5 linked regions of the Daphnia pulex genome follow. The protein of the gene in region 5 purifies or fractionates together with the protein of the main gene of each other region. This does not show direct contact. Links are inferred from orthologs where the notes say so. Each region holds a gene or a part of one and is shown on either strand. Other genes may lie near its edges.

Region 1 (3,024 bases), on a different chromosome or scaffold from region 5:
TAATTTTCGTAGAGGGATACGATCTTCTGCTCGTGGTTTGAGTAATTTAGCAATCAAGTCTTTCGCTCCAGTAGAGAGATGTGCTGGAAATTTCAAGTCAACTCTACAATACGAATTTATGGCATGGAAAATGTAAACGCTTAGAATGCCTCTTAACCACATTGGCAAATTATGCGATAAAATTAATACTTGCAAATACGGCGGTAAGTGAGATCTTGCTTTTCCTCTTCAAAAGGAGGTGATCCCACTAAGAATTCGTAGCAAAGAATACCAAGAGTCCACAAATCTACACGTTCGTCGTGAGAGCGCCCTTCTACCATTTCGGGGGCTAAATAATCCAATGTCCCGCACATGGTTGTACGCCTATTGAACAAAAACAATATAACATAAATAACTTCGATTTGTTTGGTTCTACACTAAACAATCATATTTTACTTTACCTAGACGAAGGAGCATGGACGGACCAACCAAAATCGGCTATTTTAATTTCTCCATGAAATCCTAGTAAAAGATTTTCTGGCTTAATATCTCGGTGGATTACTTTCCGCGCGTGACAGTATATCAATGCATCAGCTAGCTGAGCCATGTAATTGGCCGTCCTAAAAATAGGGGTAAATTATTTTCCACAGAACTTATGTTTCTGTTATTTTAAAAAATTTACTGTGGTTCAGAAAAACGGCCATTGGGTTGGCGTTTCAGGTACTTGTACATTTCTCCATTTGCGGCGAATTCCAAGATGAGGTAAATACGAGTTTCATCATAAAAATATCCGTGCATGCGTAAAACATTGGGATGTCTACAGTAGAGTCGCAGAAAAGGTTGATGTGCATTAGTGATATAAATTTTCCATAAAACATGTGATCTCATTAGTATGTACCGTAAATGTGACTGGATTTCAATTTCACGTCTCAACTGGTGTTCCATCTGACATTTTTGTAGTTGAGATTTAAACAAAACCTTCAGGGCTACAATGTATTTGGTATTGATTTCTCTAGCCAAGTACACATTTCCAAACTTCCCTTTACCAAGAGGACGGCCAATTTCGAAGTTATCAAGACTCCATCTGGGTTGAAACAAACAAGCAGAGAAACACACATGATTTGGAAGATTAATGCCACAATTAAAATATTTAAGTCAAGAAGATAAATGAGAAACACTTTGTTGGATTCTGAAAAACAAAAAATTCTAACATACTTTGAGTTTTCCAACTTAACAGTAGGTTGGTTTGAAGAGTTCTCTTTAAGTGGCTGCTTGGTTTCCATGTTATCTGTCAATTTCAAAATCAAAACATGAAACATTTACAAAAACACGAAGTTCAAACTTACTTATTCACTTACATTTTCGTAAAAAACGTTTAGATTGGTCTAAATTTTCAAAATGTGTTGTAATTGTATATACCTGTATACCAATGTCTAAACTTCTAAACTCTAAAACCCTAAACCGTGGTCTACTACGGTGCTGCTGCTACTGGACGGTTTTGGACAAATGGGAAAATATTCAAACGGCAGAACAACCGGCGTTGCCGGTATGATGGTATTATGGAAATATTTTCGCCTCCTCCGTTTGTCGTTTTTCTCAGATTTTCTATAGACTTCGTCTTCGTGTCTAAGACTAATTTATTATTAAATTATTTCATTATCATTAAGACGATTATTGTTCTCGGTGCTCTGCAATCTGCAAATAGGCCTAAGTCAATTTCGACAATCGTCGATCGTCGACTTCGCTACATTCTACCGCTAGTCTCAAATAGGAACTAGGAGGGTAGGAAGTAGAATAGCCTGAAGTTTGTCTGCTGCTTAGTGCTTTTGATACGTAAAAAATGGCGACTGACGGAAGCAAAAAGCAAGCTAAAAATGCTCCGAAAAATGTTAGCAAATCGAATGAAGAAGTCATCCAAGGATTTCAAAGATTACGAACTGAACAGAGACAACTAGCTAGTAAATTATCTGAGCTCGAAATGGATCTAAACGAGCACAAGTAAGTTTTACCGGTTTCACTTTATAAACAGACTTCCATAGCGTGTAGAGGATAATTTACTCCTACTATTAACTATGTCATATTTTTTTTCTTACTCAGACTAGTAATAGAAACCCTTCAAAATGTGGATGAAGACAGGAAGTGCTTTCGCATGGTTGGTGGAGTACTAGTTGAACGAACTGTCAAAGAAGTTCTGCCTGCACTGACATCAAACAGGGACCAGGTAACTTGTTTTCATATTGTATTATTTGGTTGTAATTTTAATTACAATTTATTTTTTATATAGATGACTAAAGTAATTGAAGTTCTCAATAATCAAATTTCCACCAAGGGACAAGAAATTAATGACTTCAAGGAAAAGAATAATATCAGGATACGAAATCAAAATGAACTCCCATCTACAGCTCCTGATAATGAAGGAGAAAATAAAGTTGCCAATCAGGGGGTTTTGGTGGGCACCAAACCTTAACTGATATACCTTGTTTTGTATGCTCTGCTGCTGAAGAAAAATCAGAAAACATATGTTTTGCTTTTGCTTATTTTTATGAATCTAATACTTTCATCTGCTCTACTATCCTAATGGAAGGTTAGAGTACTAAACAATCTGTGTGATTTACCAAGAAAGCTTTTAAGAAGCTTAGCTATTCTAACTTTTGATGTATTTATGAATTACTAGCAGGAATTATTCTATTAGATTTCTATTGAATGCACAATAACTTAGTTTATCTCTGGTTTCTCCGAAGAGCGACAACGCTATAAAATCATATGGATTTGAGATCACACCGGATTTTAAACCAATAATTTTTGCTGCTGCGAACTGTTTAGTTTGTGTGTAATATTTGAAAAGTCAAAAGTGTTCCCCACAAAATTGCTTTGGCGCAGTTCTCCGTAAAATTTGTTTTACAGATAAGTAAACAATGGTGATCAAAATATTTAATTTATTTTCTAGGTGAAAAGTTGGTCTAGACAGTCTACTTATGCAGTATACACCAAAACGATTCGACGACGATGTGTGGGAATTGGTCTCGATGTCAGGTTAAATTCTCA
Region 2 (2,918 bases), on a different chromosome or scaffold from region 5:
GTACAGATCCCAGAGGGATATCAGAGAGTCGCTACCTCCGGCGGCCAACAAGCCGCCGACGCCGCCGCCGCTTTGACCCATGATGAAGACCAGGCTGTTGACAGGGCCGTCGTGAAGTTGAAGGACGCAGAGCTTTTTATGAGTTCGGGCACTGAAGAAGCGAATGCGATGGTCCCAGCCGGCTGTTGCGTAGAGACGCGGGTCGGATAGGCGGAGCGCCATGACGTTCAGTCCGGGATTGGTCAGCACGACAGACTTGAGCTCGGTTAGGTCGTCGACGTTGAAGATGTATAATGTTTCGCATGAAGTTCCTAATAGGAGTTCATTACGCTGAGCATGATGCCCCAAGCAAGTCGGCATGCTCTTGACCCTTGTTCGATGGAGTACAACGTTCTCGTTCCAGATGCAAATGCATCCACTTTCATAGGCGGTTACTACAGTCGTCTGTTTCCCCAACAATTTAATGGCCATTAATGCTCCTTCGTCGTCGTCGATCGTTAGCGTGCCGGTACGGTCCAGCGACGTCGTTTCCTGACTGATGTTGAAGATTTCAACTGAATTCTTCTTGGCAGGGATGGCTATGATGTTGGCCCAAAGGTCACACTTGCAGAATCCTTCATGAGTGACTAGCATCCGATGAACTGAGATTCCTTCTGCATTCCAGATGATGAGAGATTCATTTCTTCCATGTGAAATTATGTAACCAGGTCTGTCATCCAAAGCCCCAATCCACACAATTGTGGCACTGTGAGCTTGCCAGGTCTTGGTTGGTCGATAAACCTGAATTTAAAAGGTGTTTCGTCATTAGACAATCAATTTTAAGCAAATCAATTTAAGCCTACATTTAAATTCCAAATAGTTATGAATCCAATCTCTGATCCACTGACTAGATTGTATTCACCATCCTCTTTTAGTCTTAGTGCAGCTAATGCAGTGACTGGTCCACTTGGATTGTGCAGAATGTGGACTGGATCTGGTGGTGGTTGAGCCATTTTGTCTTTAATAACCAAATTTGTTTAGTTTCCTAATGCTCAGCTATAGTAGATGATAAGAACTGACCTCAAATAAATGTATCCATCGACAATTTCGAATTAAAAAGCTAATTTTGTTTTTGCATGTCTCACGTCAAAAACTTTCAAAAAGTTGTTTTCTTTTTGGTTCTACAGGTTCACCAGCGCCATCTATGGTGAATAATACACAATCCGTACAAAATCGGCTTTTTACATTGCAGACTAAAAAAACCTTTTTCTGTCTTCTAAAAGCAAAATCTCCAAAAATGGCCTCGACCGCAGCATGTGAACCTATCGAAGATAGTCTGAAATTATCCGGAAAAAAGTCTTTTGCTGGCATTCCCGAAGCTACCTTTGTGGTAAATATCGTTTGTGAAAACACCATGTCAAATTTCTTTCCGTTCAGTGCAATATCAGTTTATACCGGTGACAGGAAGATGTAGACGCTTACATGAAGGATCGTGAAGGGGTGGAGTCAATTTTGCGGCAACTAGACGAACAACATGGTATGTTATTTAATTAAGCCATAATGTATCTTTGCCATGCTTGTTAATTTTATCAATCTTTGTTACAGGAAAATATAAATTCATGGAGCTTAACCTTCTGGCACGCAAAAAGAAGTTGAAGAGTCAAATTCCAGACATCCAAAAATCACTTGACATGATTCAAGTGCTGGAAGCAAAAAGGAAAACTAACGAACAAATTGAAACTCACTTTTTACTCTCAGACCTTCTGTACTCTAGGGCAGTTATTGAACCCACAGATAAAGTCTGCTTGTGGCTAGGGGTAAATTATACCATTTAAACTATACAAGATTGCAAACTAATATTCTGTTTATTTTTCAGGCTAATGTGATGTTGGAATACACTTTAGAAGATGCTAAGGCTTTGTTGGAAAAAAATCATGAAACAGCTATGAAGAATCTTGCACAAGTACATCATGATCTGGACTTCCTTAGGTAAGTTTACTCTGTTTGGCTTGGCTTTCCCTAACAGTGTAACTTTAAATGTTTTTTAAAATCTATACAGGGATCAGATGACAACAACTGAAGTGAACATGGCTAGGCTTTACAATTGGGATGTCAAGAGAAGACAAGCCCTGAATGCTAAATAATAATTCTTTACAGCTAGCATGAAAGGAAACTACTGCAATTGTTCACAATAAAAAATTTTGCTTCAGAATCAAGTTTTTTATTTAATAATGAACATGAAATACATAATAAATGAGTTAAATGTCAAGGCACAGAAGGTAGTGATTTGACAGATGGAAGTGGCCTCAATTTATCTGTTCATCATGATCAGGTGTACTTTGTTCAGAAGGTTCCTCCTTACTCAAACTTTCTACAGCCAAGTACTTTTGAAGTTCTGCAGACAGCCTTTGATTCTCCTCCCTAATATAGAAAATGTGTTCGGTATTCTATGGCTGTAATCATTGTGTAATATTAAATAGCGACTCACTTCAACATCTCAGCTTGTCTCCGAGCAAAATGCAATTCATTCCTCATGGACTCCAGTTCAGCCTGATCGGGATGGGCAACACTCAGGTGGGTTTTTAGGTACCTAATTATGTGAGGAAAAATCTGTATTGTAATAAGTGTTATATGTGTAAGTAATCAAATTCATTGTTACATCAATGCATCATTTGGTTTCTCTGGCTCTTCATAGAGTCCAACCAAAACTTTTGTCAGAGCGTCCATGACTCCTGCCTTCTCTAAATAACGACGAAATTCGTCACGTTTGCTTTCCATTTCTTGATCAGTTTGTATTGAAAATCGTAAAACGGTTGTTTAGAAGGTATGATTTAAAACAAAATCAATGAAATTCTTTCGAAGTAGGTACGAAATACCAACACGTCAGTAGTGATTTCAAAGGGAAATCGAAAGAGTTAAAGACACTTTAACCGATAACT
Region 3 (2,969 bases), on a different chromosome or scaffold from region 5:
CGAACGGATGTAATGAGCACAATAACGGGAAGGGAGGACTTTATGAACGTGCACGATCCGGATGATGAAAAACCGGCCATGTGATGGACAGCCGAGAAAACTAAGTCACTGGGTCAGTCAAGTGACAATTTCCGATTGGTATTCTTCTGAACCTATTGGGTAGTATCAACGATAGTCCTCTCTGCAGGTCGTGTCCAAATGAGGTTAACACGGACGAATACATAAGCAATAACAATCGATTATTTTACGAGGTCGTGGAGCTCGAGACTGAGAGAGAAAGGCTGGAAAACCGTCCGGTGAATGGCCTCTACGAAACTAAAGAGGTACCGAGTGGTAGCCAGATGCAGAGGCGTCGTTGCGGAGGTGCAAGTCAAGCGTTACATTTTCTTCGCAGATATTTTTAGTGTTAGGGAAACTAGCTAAAAATACTTTCTTTAGCTTTGTTGTTTACTTTTCTCTTTGTGGCTTGAGAGACAATTTGTTTCTGTCAGTGCTATCAAAGACTGTTTTTTTCTTTTTTGTATTGTTCTTCATTATTATAGTGGAGAAAGCATTTTGGACGTTTTCTTTATTCCTCTTCGGCTTCTAGGTTGATAGAATTACCGAATTTGGCGTACAATTGCGTCTTCAGATCGCTCATCAAAGTCTTGATGTTTGTGCATTCAGCTTCGATGGCTTCAATATCTTTTTTCACTTTGTCTTTTGCTTCTTCAAGTTTCTCCTGTGATAAGTCAAACAATTAGCGATAAGCAGTACTTTAACAGCGATGCACAATTGACAGAAGAGGAAAAAAGAAAATCACCTTTGCCTCTTCCATGTTGAAATGAACAAACACTTCACCTACAACGAAAGGAATTGGAGCTGATTCATCATCAACCAAGAGTAAATCATCTGAAGCATCCTCCAAGTTTTGAAGATCTCCCTGAACAAAGCATAGAGAAAACGAGTAGCAATGCAGAATTGTAAGTTTCAACGTGAATCATGAGCAGAATGCGAAAATATTTCTGCCAGCACATTTATGACACATAATAATTTTGAAGACTTCACACACATTACGAAAAGAAGCATGCAATAGAAAGAATTTCACCTTTTTATTTTTCAGATCATCCCTGAGCTCCTCCCATTTTGCATTGTGTCGTGCAAACCGGTTGATTTTCTGTTGGTCTTCCAATGTAATGTGAATGTCAGAGTCCTAAAATAATTTCAGTTACTTTAACTACTAGAAATTGGCAACACGTTAAGCTATAAATTCTTAAGTCAAATCATTTTCTTACCGATTCAAGAGAATCTTTAGAAACTGCTACTGAGGCCATGATGTTTTTCTTGACAACCCCTACGTAGCAGACGACGCCTATTTATCGATTATTTCAATCGATAATGATATGCTGGTTGCCATTATTCAAATTACTATTCTTTTTAGGATTTTTATTTTACTGGATTTAACAAGCAATTTCTTTATGGCACATTTCGTTTTTATTACTTCAATACTACGGCATTATTACTTCAAGAAAAATCGTCTTTATCCCAGGTGCATTGACCACTGGGAAAGTGAAAGGGCTATTATATTCCCTATTAAGTAAGGCCTACACGGCTTTCATAATTGTTAGCTTGCTCCATAAAATGTGTTTGTGTAAATTCACGCGCTTAAAGAGAAATTTTCTTCGGGTTTCTATCTTATTATTACGATACTTACTAGAAAATTATAATGAATCCTGATGGGTTCTCGGATTTTCGAAAAAGATGTCAAGCAAAAACATGTTGCAATGCTCATGAAGAAAGTCGTGCACGTGAAAGTAATATTATGGAAATCTGAAAAAAAAAATGTAATAAATAACGAAGATGTCTTCTATTTGTTTTTGAGAGCTTTTCTTTTTACAATAAAAGCAATATGAACACGTCTAAGTAAGCGGTTTTCTTTGTGGCGAACTTGCCATATTATATGCAGTTGCCCTGCAGATCGATAGCAAAACAAACAGAACGCAATAGAGACGAAATAGTTTCACATGTTTTAACCAATCATATCAATCTCCCCTTTGTGCGTCAGAGCCCGCAATAACTGAGAAGACGAGTTTTATCAACTTATGGAACAACAACTGTTTGATTATTAAATATTTCCTGGCGAATTCCATCACGCTATACGATTCACGAAAGCCACTTGAAATGTACGTTTTAGACAGAAGGCATCCGTCCTCCTGTTTCGCTTCATTCACATATCTCAACGTGTTTCTCTGTCGTTTTTTTATAGACCTTTATGTTCACCGAACAATCGACAACAGCTGCAGAGGTGGGTTTTGCGCGTTGACAAGTAATTTCCTCATCAAAGTGTCGTTTACACTCGGTTGTGCGGTAGCCTGTTATACCAGCGCACTTTACTTAATGCGGTCAAGCAACCCGAGCGTCCCTCTCATCCGTAAAAACAGCCGTGAATACCGAGTTGCTTAACCTAGTTAGCGTCAGTGCGCAGTACGTACAAAGAAGAAGAAAGCGTGATAAATGGTCTTGTTAAAGAGTAGGACGTATTGTGGGTTCGTGTTGATACATTAATACCTCATTTCGCCGCCATTAGATCCGCACATCATTTCTAAAACGTTTCTACTTTCTGTGAATTCATTTAAATGATGAACTTTAACTTGGCAAATGCGTAATAAGTTGGGTAATTTAAAGCTCTTTGAAAATGATGCATAACTTTATTTTTATCAAAGTTTTTCAAATAGAATAAATATAAAGAAAAGGCTTTTTATGGCTGGTATATGCCAGCAGTGAAATGGGAGAAAGCCGCGCGAGATCCTTTTTTTTGTTTATGGCGTAAATCTAAATGGAGAAAACAAGACTGGTCTGACAAGAAGGAATTGACAGGAGGAAGATTTAAAGTTTCCAAGCTGACTTAATAGGATCCCCGAATAAAAAGAGAAAAGATATAATTACGCACATACACTTGAAGATATTGTGATTATGCAAATGTACAAGAG
Region 4 (3,236 bases), on a different chromosome or scaffold from region 5:
GAGTAGCATTTCAAGAATTGTTTTGCGCTTTATTTAGTTGAAGTTATGGATCTTTCCAGAAGGAACGCGTAATAGCGGGAAAAGAGACATGCTCCCATTTAAAAAAGGTGCTTTCTACATTGCCATCAATGCGCAGCTGCCTATTAGTCCTGTCGTTTACTCGTACTACTACTTTCTTGATCACAAACAAAAGCGGTTTGACCCAGGTGAAATTGTAATGACCGTATTACCACCAGTGTCTACTAAAGGCATGACAATGGAAGATTTACCTGAGTTAATGGAGCGAGTGCGCAACATGATGTTGGAAGTGTATCAATCCTCTTCTGACGAAATATCTAATGCTAATAATGCTCAACCTTCTAGTTAAAAGCTCTGACATAGACTAAATCCGCTGGTCTGGACTAATGTTGCACCGCTTCAAAAGTGAGAAATTTAAAGTGTAACAATTGATAATTTTTTTCTGTCAAGGCGAAAAAATGTGCTGTCTAGTCCCCGTGTAGACCTGAATTCCTAAATTTTTTTGTCCCATTTCCAATGTTCGGTTTGGCAATTTTTTTTAACTACTTTTTGTGTGTTAACTTCGCTGTTGTTGCGTATGTTCAATGGCCATCAAGTTTATCTGCGACCGGGCAGGTACAACGATGCACAAAATCGTTTTTTCTATTGGAAATCTCCCTTTTTGTACTCCTCCATGTTATTAACAGTGCAAGTTTAACTGTTTGAGACTCAGCAGCTTCATTACGAATCGAAATAAAAAATTAAAGCAATGAAAATGTCAATTTGTTGATGATGAAATTTTATTATTCATTTATTATACTGTACGGATGGTCTGTTTAAGCGCGAACTGCAGCCTGAGGGTTGGCGGCAACTTGGGCTTGTACTTTCAAATCCATCACTTCAGCAACAGCTGCAGTAAAAAAATCTTTAGTACATAGAGAAAATTAAAAATAATATCAAAGTAAATTACCATCTCTGACTTGACTCTTTTCAATACCAAGCATCTGTACTTTCTCCATTTGTTCAGTAACAAACTTTACTTTACGTCTGAAATAACTCTTAGCTTGTTCAATTGTCTGAACATTAAACAATAAAACTTAGTAACCATTTCAATCTTTTGACAAGATTATCAGCACTTACATTCTCTGCATAGTAACCGGTTCCAATATCAATCAAAGGTTGTTCTGGTTTACTGATTTTTCCAGGCACATACATCTATCAAATATAAGGTCTTATACCAAGAAATCATATGTACAATTACTTTAATCTAGCTTACAGATCCTGTGAGTGGAACAAGTATAGGTGCACCTTCCTGGGTAGATTCTAGTTTCTCAGCACTTTCAGCTGATTCTTGAAATTTTGTCTGTGCAATTTTCAAAGTCTGAAGAGAATCTTGGTACAGGCTTAAATCCTATACAGTCAAAAATGAAAGAAAGCAGTTATAAATAATTCTATAAAATAAAATAATGAAATAATGACTTGTTCAAGTTGCTGCTTTAACTGAGACAGCTGTGGAAGTGTCAAAGTGGTCAAGTCTATTTTCTGCATATTATCTCCTCCTTGGGCTTTATCTTTTTGTGCATTACCAGCCATTTTCACAGGTGTGTTACTTGATTGGAATCTATCAACTTAACGAGAAATACAAATATATAGAACCGCAAAAATTCGAGTATTTTGGGTGTACCTTTAAAAGGAAATGTCCACCACCACCAGTGTAAAAGAGCAGACGACGTGATTTAAAGGTTTGGGCGTTTAGCATTTCTAAACAGCATCTGTTCTTATAAGATGGTTTCAGAGAAAAACACCTGAAAATGAAGTCACAATTATTTATAGAAATATTTCTAAAGCCTTCAGTCATTGAGAATTCACGGAGAAATTTTTTAAATCATGCATCTTGTTTCTAATTTGAGACTTGAATTCTTTTTTCAAGTTGCAAAAAAATAGGAATAAGTATAGACGGATTGGATTCCTTGTTATTGTGATTGCGAAATATTCAGCGTTGAAGGAGCCAGAGGAAAAAAACCGGCCTCTCGGCGACAGTCTCTACTTCATCGGTATCAAGATCAGGAGCGATCAGGAGTATGAAAAGGGCAGACAGTGGTGCGTTTTCCGACCTTCCGTCATGAGTTGACGATTTCTTCACAATCAGTCAGACGACAGATACCGGGTGACACGACACGTGCCGCAACGTAAGACCGCTATATATTTCCAATCGTCTACAATCATCTTGCGAGACACACAGAGAATAGTCTGAACTCTTATGGCCTATTGGCTACTGGAAAGGCAGGAATCCTTCAGAACAGCAAAGATCAATGTACTGGGGGTCACCGAGCATCAAAATCTGCTGGCCAGTCCAGGATGTAACTCCCTTTTATCACTTTCGATATCTCGATATACAGAGGTTCTTGATATACAGATATTGTGTGGGCGGACTGGAATCTGACTAGACACCAGACAGAGCTCTCTTTTACTGTTACACTGAGACTAAATAACATTTTTTTAATTTGACAGCCAATAAGGACACTATAAGCTGCAACTTAACTAAGCGATAAGAAAACGTTGCTTTTTAACGAACAGGACTCGATAGTCTATGCACAACGCACTGGCACAATTATGCTTACCATTCACACAATGAATACTTTCAGAATCAATTACTAGGATGCACAAGTCTAATCAATAACTTTTAATGAGGAACTCAGGATGAATTGAATATGTAATGTATAGCATTTTTTTAAAGTATTTTTGTGTATCGTGTCAAATATTTTACATGAAGAAACAAGCGAAAAATTTAGACTAAATGCATTAAACGATATTATGTTTTTCTGACTTCTTTGACAATATTAAAAATGGGTTGGTTATCCATGGAATGCTGATCTAAAACAAGATTTTTAAAAAGTAATTACCAATAACGAAACAAATTATTTTCCGATATTCAAATTACCTGAATTAATTGTATCGGACGGATCTCATCAAAGAAGAACAAAATACAATTATTTGAAAAAAAAGGTGACTTAACCGATATTCGGCCGGCACTTTCCTGTCTGCGTTCGGCGGCTACCGGGACCACAAGGACGCATTCCGGCTACAGCGACGGATCTACCTGATGGGGATCTACTTTCGGCTTCCTTATCTTCCAGATTCCGTTCATCAATTTCGTTGCCCCCGTGATGAGGTCTCCTACCAATCTTAAATGCTCTTAATTGACATCCGACGGTATTTGTGGCGTAACGCTCTAGCGT
Region 5 (3,010 bases):
GAGTTAACACTTCGACACCTGTTTCGGTCACGAGCATTGTATGTTCGAATTGCGCAGATAGTTTACCGTCTTGGGTAACCGCCGTCCAATTGTCCGGCCATTGCTCATCTTTCCATACACCTAAGTAACATTAAAATTGAGTAGTATTAGTTTCTTGTGATAAATGCAAAAGTTTTGATTCTGAAACGGTAGGCAAGTACATTAGACCATTTACCTTCAGATATCATTGGCTCAATTGTGAAACAGTGACCAGGCTTCATGATTCCAACGGCTTTATTCTCTGTGAAAACGTACGTAAGTTACTGATCAAGTTTAACAGATGAGTAGTGTAGGGAGCAATGAAAGTCACGTACTTGCATAGTGAGGAATATTAGGTGCTGTGTGGAAAAGCTGGTGAATACCATGTCCGCAATAACTCCTAACAACTGAAAATCCATGGCTTTGGGCGTGTTTTTGAATAACAGCCCCAACATCGCGATACTTAACACCTGGCTTCACTATAGAGAATGAGGGAAAAAAATGACGCATGAAGAGTTTATCGGTAAACAAATAACTGAAAGCGCGAAGCTTACAAACCTATTTCGATCGCTTTTTCTAGACATTCCCATGTGACTTGCACTAGCCTCTTGGCAGACTCGCTAACCTGACCAACGAATAAGGTTTCATTCAGGTCACCATGAAATCCTCGGTGGTAAGCCGTTACATCAACTAATGAATAAAATCTTTTTAATAAACAAGGATAACACAAACATTTTTAACAAATGAATTATTATTACTGTTGCATATATCCCCATTTTGCATGGGTCTCTTATCAGGGATACCATGGCAGATAACCTCATTGATAGAAGTGCAACAGGATTTTGGGAATTCATAATAATTTAATGGTGATGGATAGCACTCCCGCTCAATGCAGGCTTCATGGACAATCCTATCAATCTCATCTGTTGTGACCCCTACGGCCACAGCATTTGCTGCTTCTTCCAAGATTTCTCTACCAAGCTGTAAATAATATTAGTCAATTGCAAATTTCATAATGGGCAACAATTGATTACCTTGCTGACAACTCTCATTCCTTCTTTCTCTTCATCACTTAAAGCCTTAATATAGGAACTTCCTCTAGCAGACTGTTCTCCAAGTGGATGTCCTTCAGGATGATCAGCATAATCTGGTCTAGCAATGTGTGTAGGGATGGTGCGTTTGGGGGTCTGAGGATATGGACGTAAAGTACCTAAAAAAAAAACTATAGATAGAGATAATATCCCAACACAAAATAATTTCACATACCGGTAAACGGGAAACCAGGCCAAGGATTGTACGCGACGGGCTCTGTCACTGTTTCTTTCTTGTGGACACTCTTATGCACATTCCAGTTTTTTTTGAAACATTCTTGTGTACAAAAGAACGATCCTTTAATGCCCAGTTTAATGCAAGTCGGGCATTGTAACCGGGCTTCTTGGTCACAACCTGGGGTTTCACAAAGAGCTCCTGCAGACATTATTTTCAAACACTTCGCACTTCAATCTTCAAGGCGATTGTTCGTCAATTCGTGTTCGATTCAGGATAGTCGTCTGCAAAGTTATCAGCACTAAACAACCAAACTATGACGTCATTTCACTTCCCCTTGGTGGCTTACAAAATTTTCGATCGTTTATAATGATTATCAAAATAAACATTAATCAGTTCAAAAATTAAAACAATTAAAACTTAATTTAAATAAAATTTTAGACATTAATACTTTCATAGCGATTTTTATAAAATGTGTGGACTCTGTTTAGTTTAGTCATGCTCTCCTCCCAAATTCCAAAATTGTCTTCTGCTGGTGTCACTTTTATAGTCCTGCCGGTTGTAATTCATTGACCCGTAATAATATTTAAAAAATGGCAAAACAAGGACAGATGGATCTTGAACTCAAAAAGGTTATTATTTTTAGTATTTTTGTCTTATTTTGACATCACATATTCATTCCATTATGACTGTTTTCAGGCATTTGCTGAACTACAGCAAAAAATGGTCGAGACGTCTCAAAAGCTCAAATTAGCTGATCTACAGATCGAGACGCTCAAAAGAAGTATGACACATGCACAACTAACTGACAAAGAAATAAGTCAACTTCCAACTGATACCAAAACGTATGAAAGTGTGGGTCGTATGTTTGTATTAAAAGAAGTAACTGTAGCACGAACGAACCTTGAGAACAAAATCAAAGGCTGTGAGGAGAAAGTGAAAACACTTGAGGTTAGATTTACATTAAATTTAATTGTGCATTTTTGTTTACATTTTTTTCTAATTTCTGTTCAATTAAAAAGGGAACTAAAGCATACTTGGAGCGCAGCTTGAAAGAAAGTGAGAACAACATTAGAGAAATGATCCAACAAAGAAAAGATGCTAACACTGGGGATCAACATTGAAGATTAAATGTTTTTTTGCCTACTTGGATACTTGTCTATGCTTTTTTTGTTCGTTTCCATCGATTTTTATGGGGAAACCAAAATAAACTGCTTAAAATACTACGTGGTTAGATTTTTACATAATAGATGGCCAAGGCAAAAGTCGTCTGCTGACCTTGGAGAAAAACTTCAATAACACAGAAAGAGCTGAAGTGAGAGTAAAAACAGTGATCAACAACAAGTTGGGTTTAAGAGACCTTTCGTTTTCAATTTTTGGCCTTGAATAAATCTTATTTTCTAAGGATGCTGACTGGCATCAAAAGGTAGGAATGAAATGAAATTAATTTTAAAAGATGTTATAAAGCAAACATGACGTCGATGTTCGATGACTCCATCGACTTCATTGTAAAAAAAATTGTTTTATTTTCTTGTTGTGTGTGTGCACAATTTGAACAGTTTGAACATGATAGGAATTTTATTTACACCTGTGATCTATTAGTCTTCACAACTTTGTAGTAAATTTAATAGTTTTGGTCTAAATTGCTGTTTATAGTTTAGACATATCAGACTTCATTGGATCTTCTTAGTTAATTTCAGGGGTGAACTAGTGAAAGAAGAGCTGT

Evidence for each region.
Region 1: the proteins of prefoldin subunit 1-like (region 5) and prefoldin subunit 2-like purify together in Homo sapiens (affinity purification with mass spectrometry; 5 studies listed by BioGRID and IntAct, counting the BioPlex papers as one, with this or other methods). This does not show direct contact. The link is inferred for Daphnia pulex from reciprocal best matches to the Homo sapiens genes PFDN1 and PFDN2.
Region 2: the proteins of prefoldin subunit 1-like (region 5) and prefoldin subunit 3-like purify together in Homo sapiens (affinity purification with mass spectrometry; 4 studies listed by BioGRID and IntAct, counting the BioPlex papers as one, with this or other methods). This does not show direct contact. The link is inferred for Daphnia pulex from reciprocal best matches to the Homo sapiens genes PFDN1 and VBP1.
Region 3: the proteins of prefoldin subunit 1-like (region 5) and prefoldin subunit 4-like purify together in Homo sapiens (affinity purification with mass spectrometry; 5 studies listed by BioGRID and IntAct, counting the BioPlex papers as one, with this or other methods). This does not show direct contact. The link is inferred for Daphnia pulex from reciprocal best matches to the Homo sapiens genes PFDN1 and PFDN4.
Region 4: the proteins of prefoldin subunit 1-like (region 5) and prefoldin subunit 5-like purify together in Homo sapiens (affinity purification with mass spectrometry; 7 studies listed by BioGRID and IntAct, with this or other methods). This does not show direct contact. The link is inferred for Daphnia pulex from reciprocal best matches to the Homo sapiens genes PFDN1 and PFDN5.

The regions. Positions count from the first base shown.
Region 1 is NC_060024.1:9,271,840-9,274,863, reverse strand, and holds prefoldin subunit 2-like, read left to right. Parts: upstream 1-1,732; 5' UTR 1,733-1,819; coding exon 1,820-1,977; intron 1,978-2,076; coding exon 2,077-2,200; intron 2,201-2,263; coding exon 2,264-2,446; 3' UTR 2,447-2,499; downstream 2,500-3,024. Other genes in the region: aurora kinase-like, read right to left, coding at 1-103, 190-363, 441-599, 662-796, 878-1,063, 1,195-1,262. UniProt on the Homo sapiens protein: Binds specifically to cytosolic chaperonin (c-CPN) and transfers target proteins to it. Binds to nascent polypeptide chain and promotes folding in an environment in which there are many competing pathways for nonnative proteins.
Region 2 is NC_060028.1:10,584,953-10,587,870, forward strand, and holds prefoldin subunit 3-like, read left to right. Parts: upstream 1-1,206; 5' UTR 1,207-1,276; coding exon 1,277-1,369; intron 1,370-1,443; coding exon 1,444-1,516; intron 1,517-1,584; coding exon 1,585-1,796; intron 1,797-1,855; coding exon 1,856-1,968; intron 1,969-2,038; coding exon 2,039-2,123; 3' UTR 2,124-2,191; downstream 2,192-2,918. Other genes in the region: guanine nucleotide-binding protein subunit beta-like protein 1, read right to left, coding at 1-780, 843-992; c-Myc-binding protein-like, read right to left, coding at 2,286-2,400, 2,468-2,569, 2,639-2,757. UniProt on the Homo sapiens protein: Binds specifically to cytosolic chaperonin (c-CPN) and transfers target proteins to it. Binds to nascent polypeptide chain and promotes folding in an environment in which there are many competing pathways for nonnative proteins.
Region 3 is NC_060022.1:3,651,662-3,654,630, reverse strand, and holds prefoldin subunit 4-like, read right to left. Parts: upstream 1,428-2,969; 5' UTR 1,314-1,427; coding exon 1,275-1,313; intron 1,193-1,274; coding exon 1,088-1,192; intron 923-1,087; coding exon 773-922; intron 722-772; coding exon 569-721; downstream 1-568. UniProt on the Homo sapiens protein: Binds specifically to cytosolic chaperonin (c-CPN) and transfers target proteins to it. Binds to nascent polypeptide chain and promotes folding in an environment in which there are many competing pathways for nonnative proteins.
Region 4 is NC_060023.1:2,200,273-2,203,508, reverse strand, and holds prefoldin subunit 5-like, read right to left. Parts: upstream 1,832-3,236; 5' UTR 1,682-1,831; intron 1,626-1,681; 5' UTR 1,591-1,625; coding exon 1,477-1,590; intron 1,409-1,476; coding exon 1,274-1,408; intron 1,213-1,273; coding exon 1,138-1,212; intron 1,074-1,137; coding exon 968-1,073; intron 908-967; coding exon 834-907; 3' UTR 780-833; downstream 1-779. Other genes in the region: 1-acyl-sn-glycerol-3-phosphate acyltransferase alpha-like, read left to right, coding at 38-367. UniProt on the Homo sapiens protein: Binds specifically to cytosolic chaperonin (c-CPN) and transfers target proteins to it. Binds to nascent polypeptide chain and promotes folding in an environment in which there are many competing pathways for nonnative proteins.
Region 5 is NC_060021.1:7,365,462-7,368,471, forward strand, and holds prefoldin subunit 1-like, read left to right. Parts: upstream 1-1,765; 5' UTR 1,766-1,877; coding exon 1,878-1,916; intron 1,917-1,983; coding exon 1,984-2,235; intron 2,236-2,306; coding exon 2,307-2,408; 3' UTR 2,409-2,510; downstream 2,511-3,010. Other genes in the region: methionine aminopeptidase 1-like, read right to left, coding at 1-120, 215-280, 354-497, 577-708, 777-999, 1,053-1,228, 1,285-1,495. UniProt on the Homo sapiens protein: Binds specifically to cytosolic chaperonin (c-CPN) and transfers target proteins to it. Binds to nascent polypeptide chain and promotes folding in an environment in which there are many competing pathways for nonnative proteins.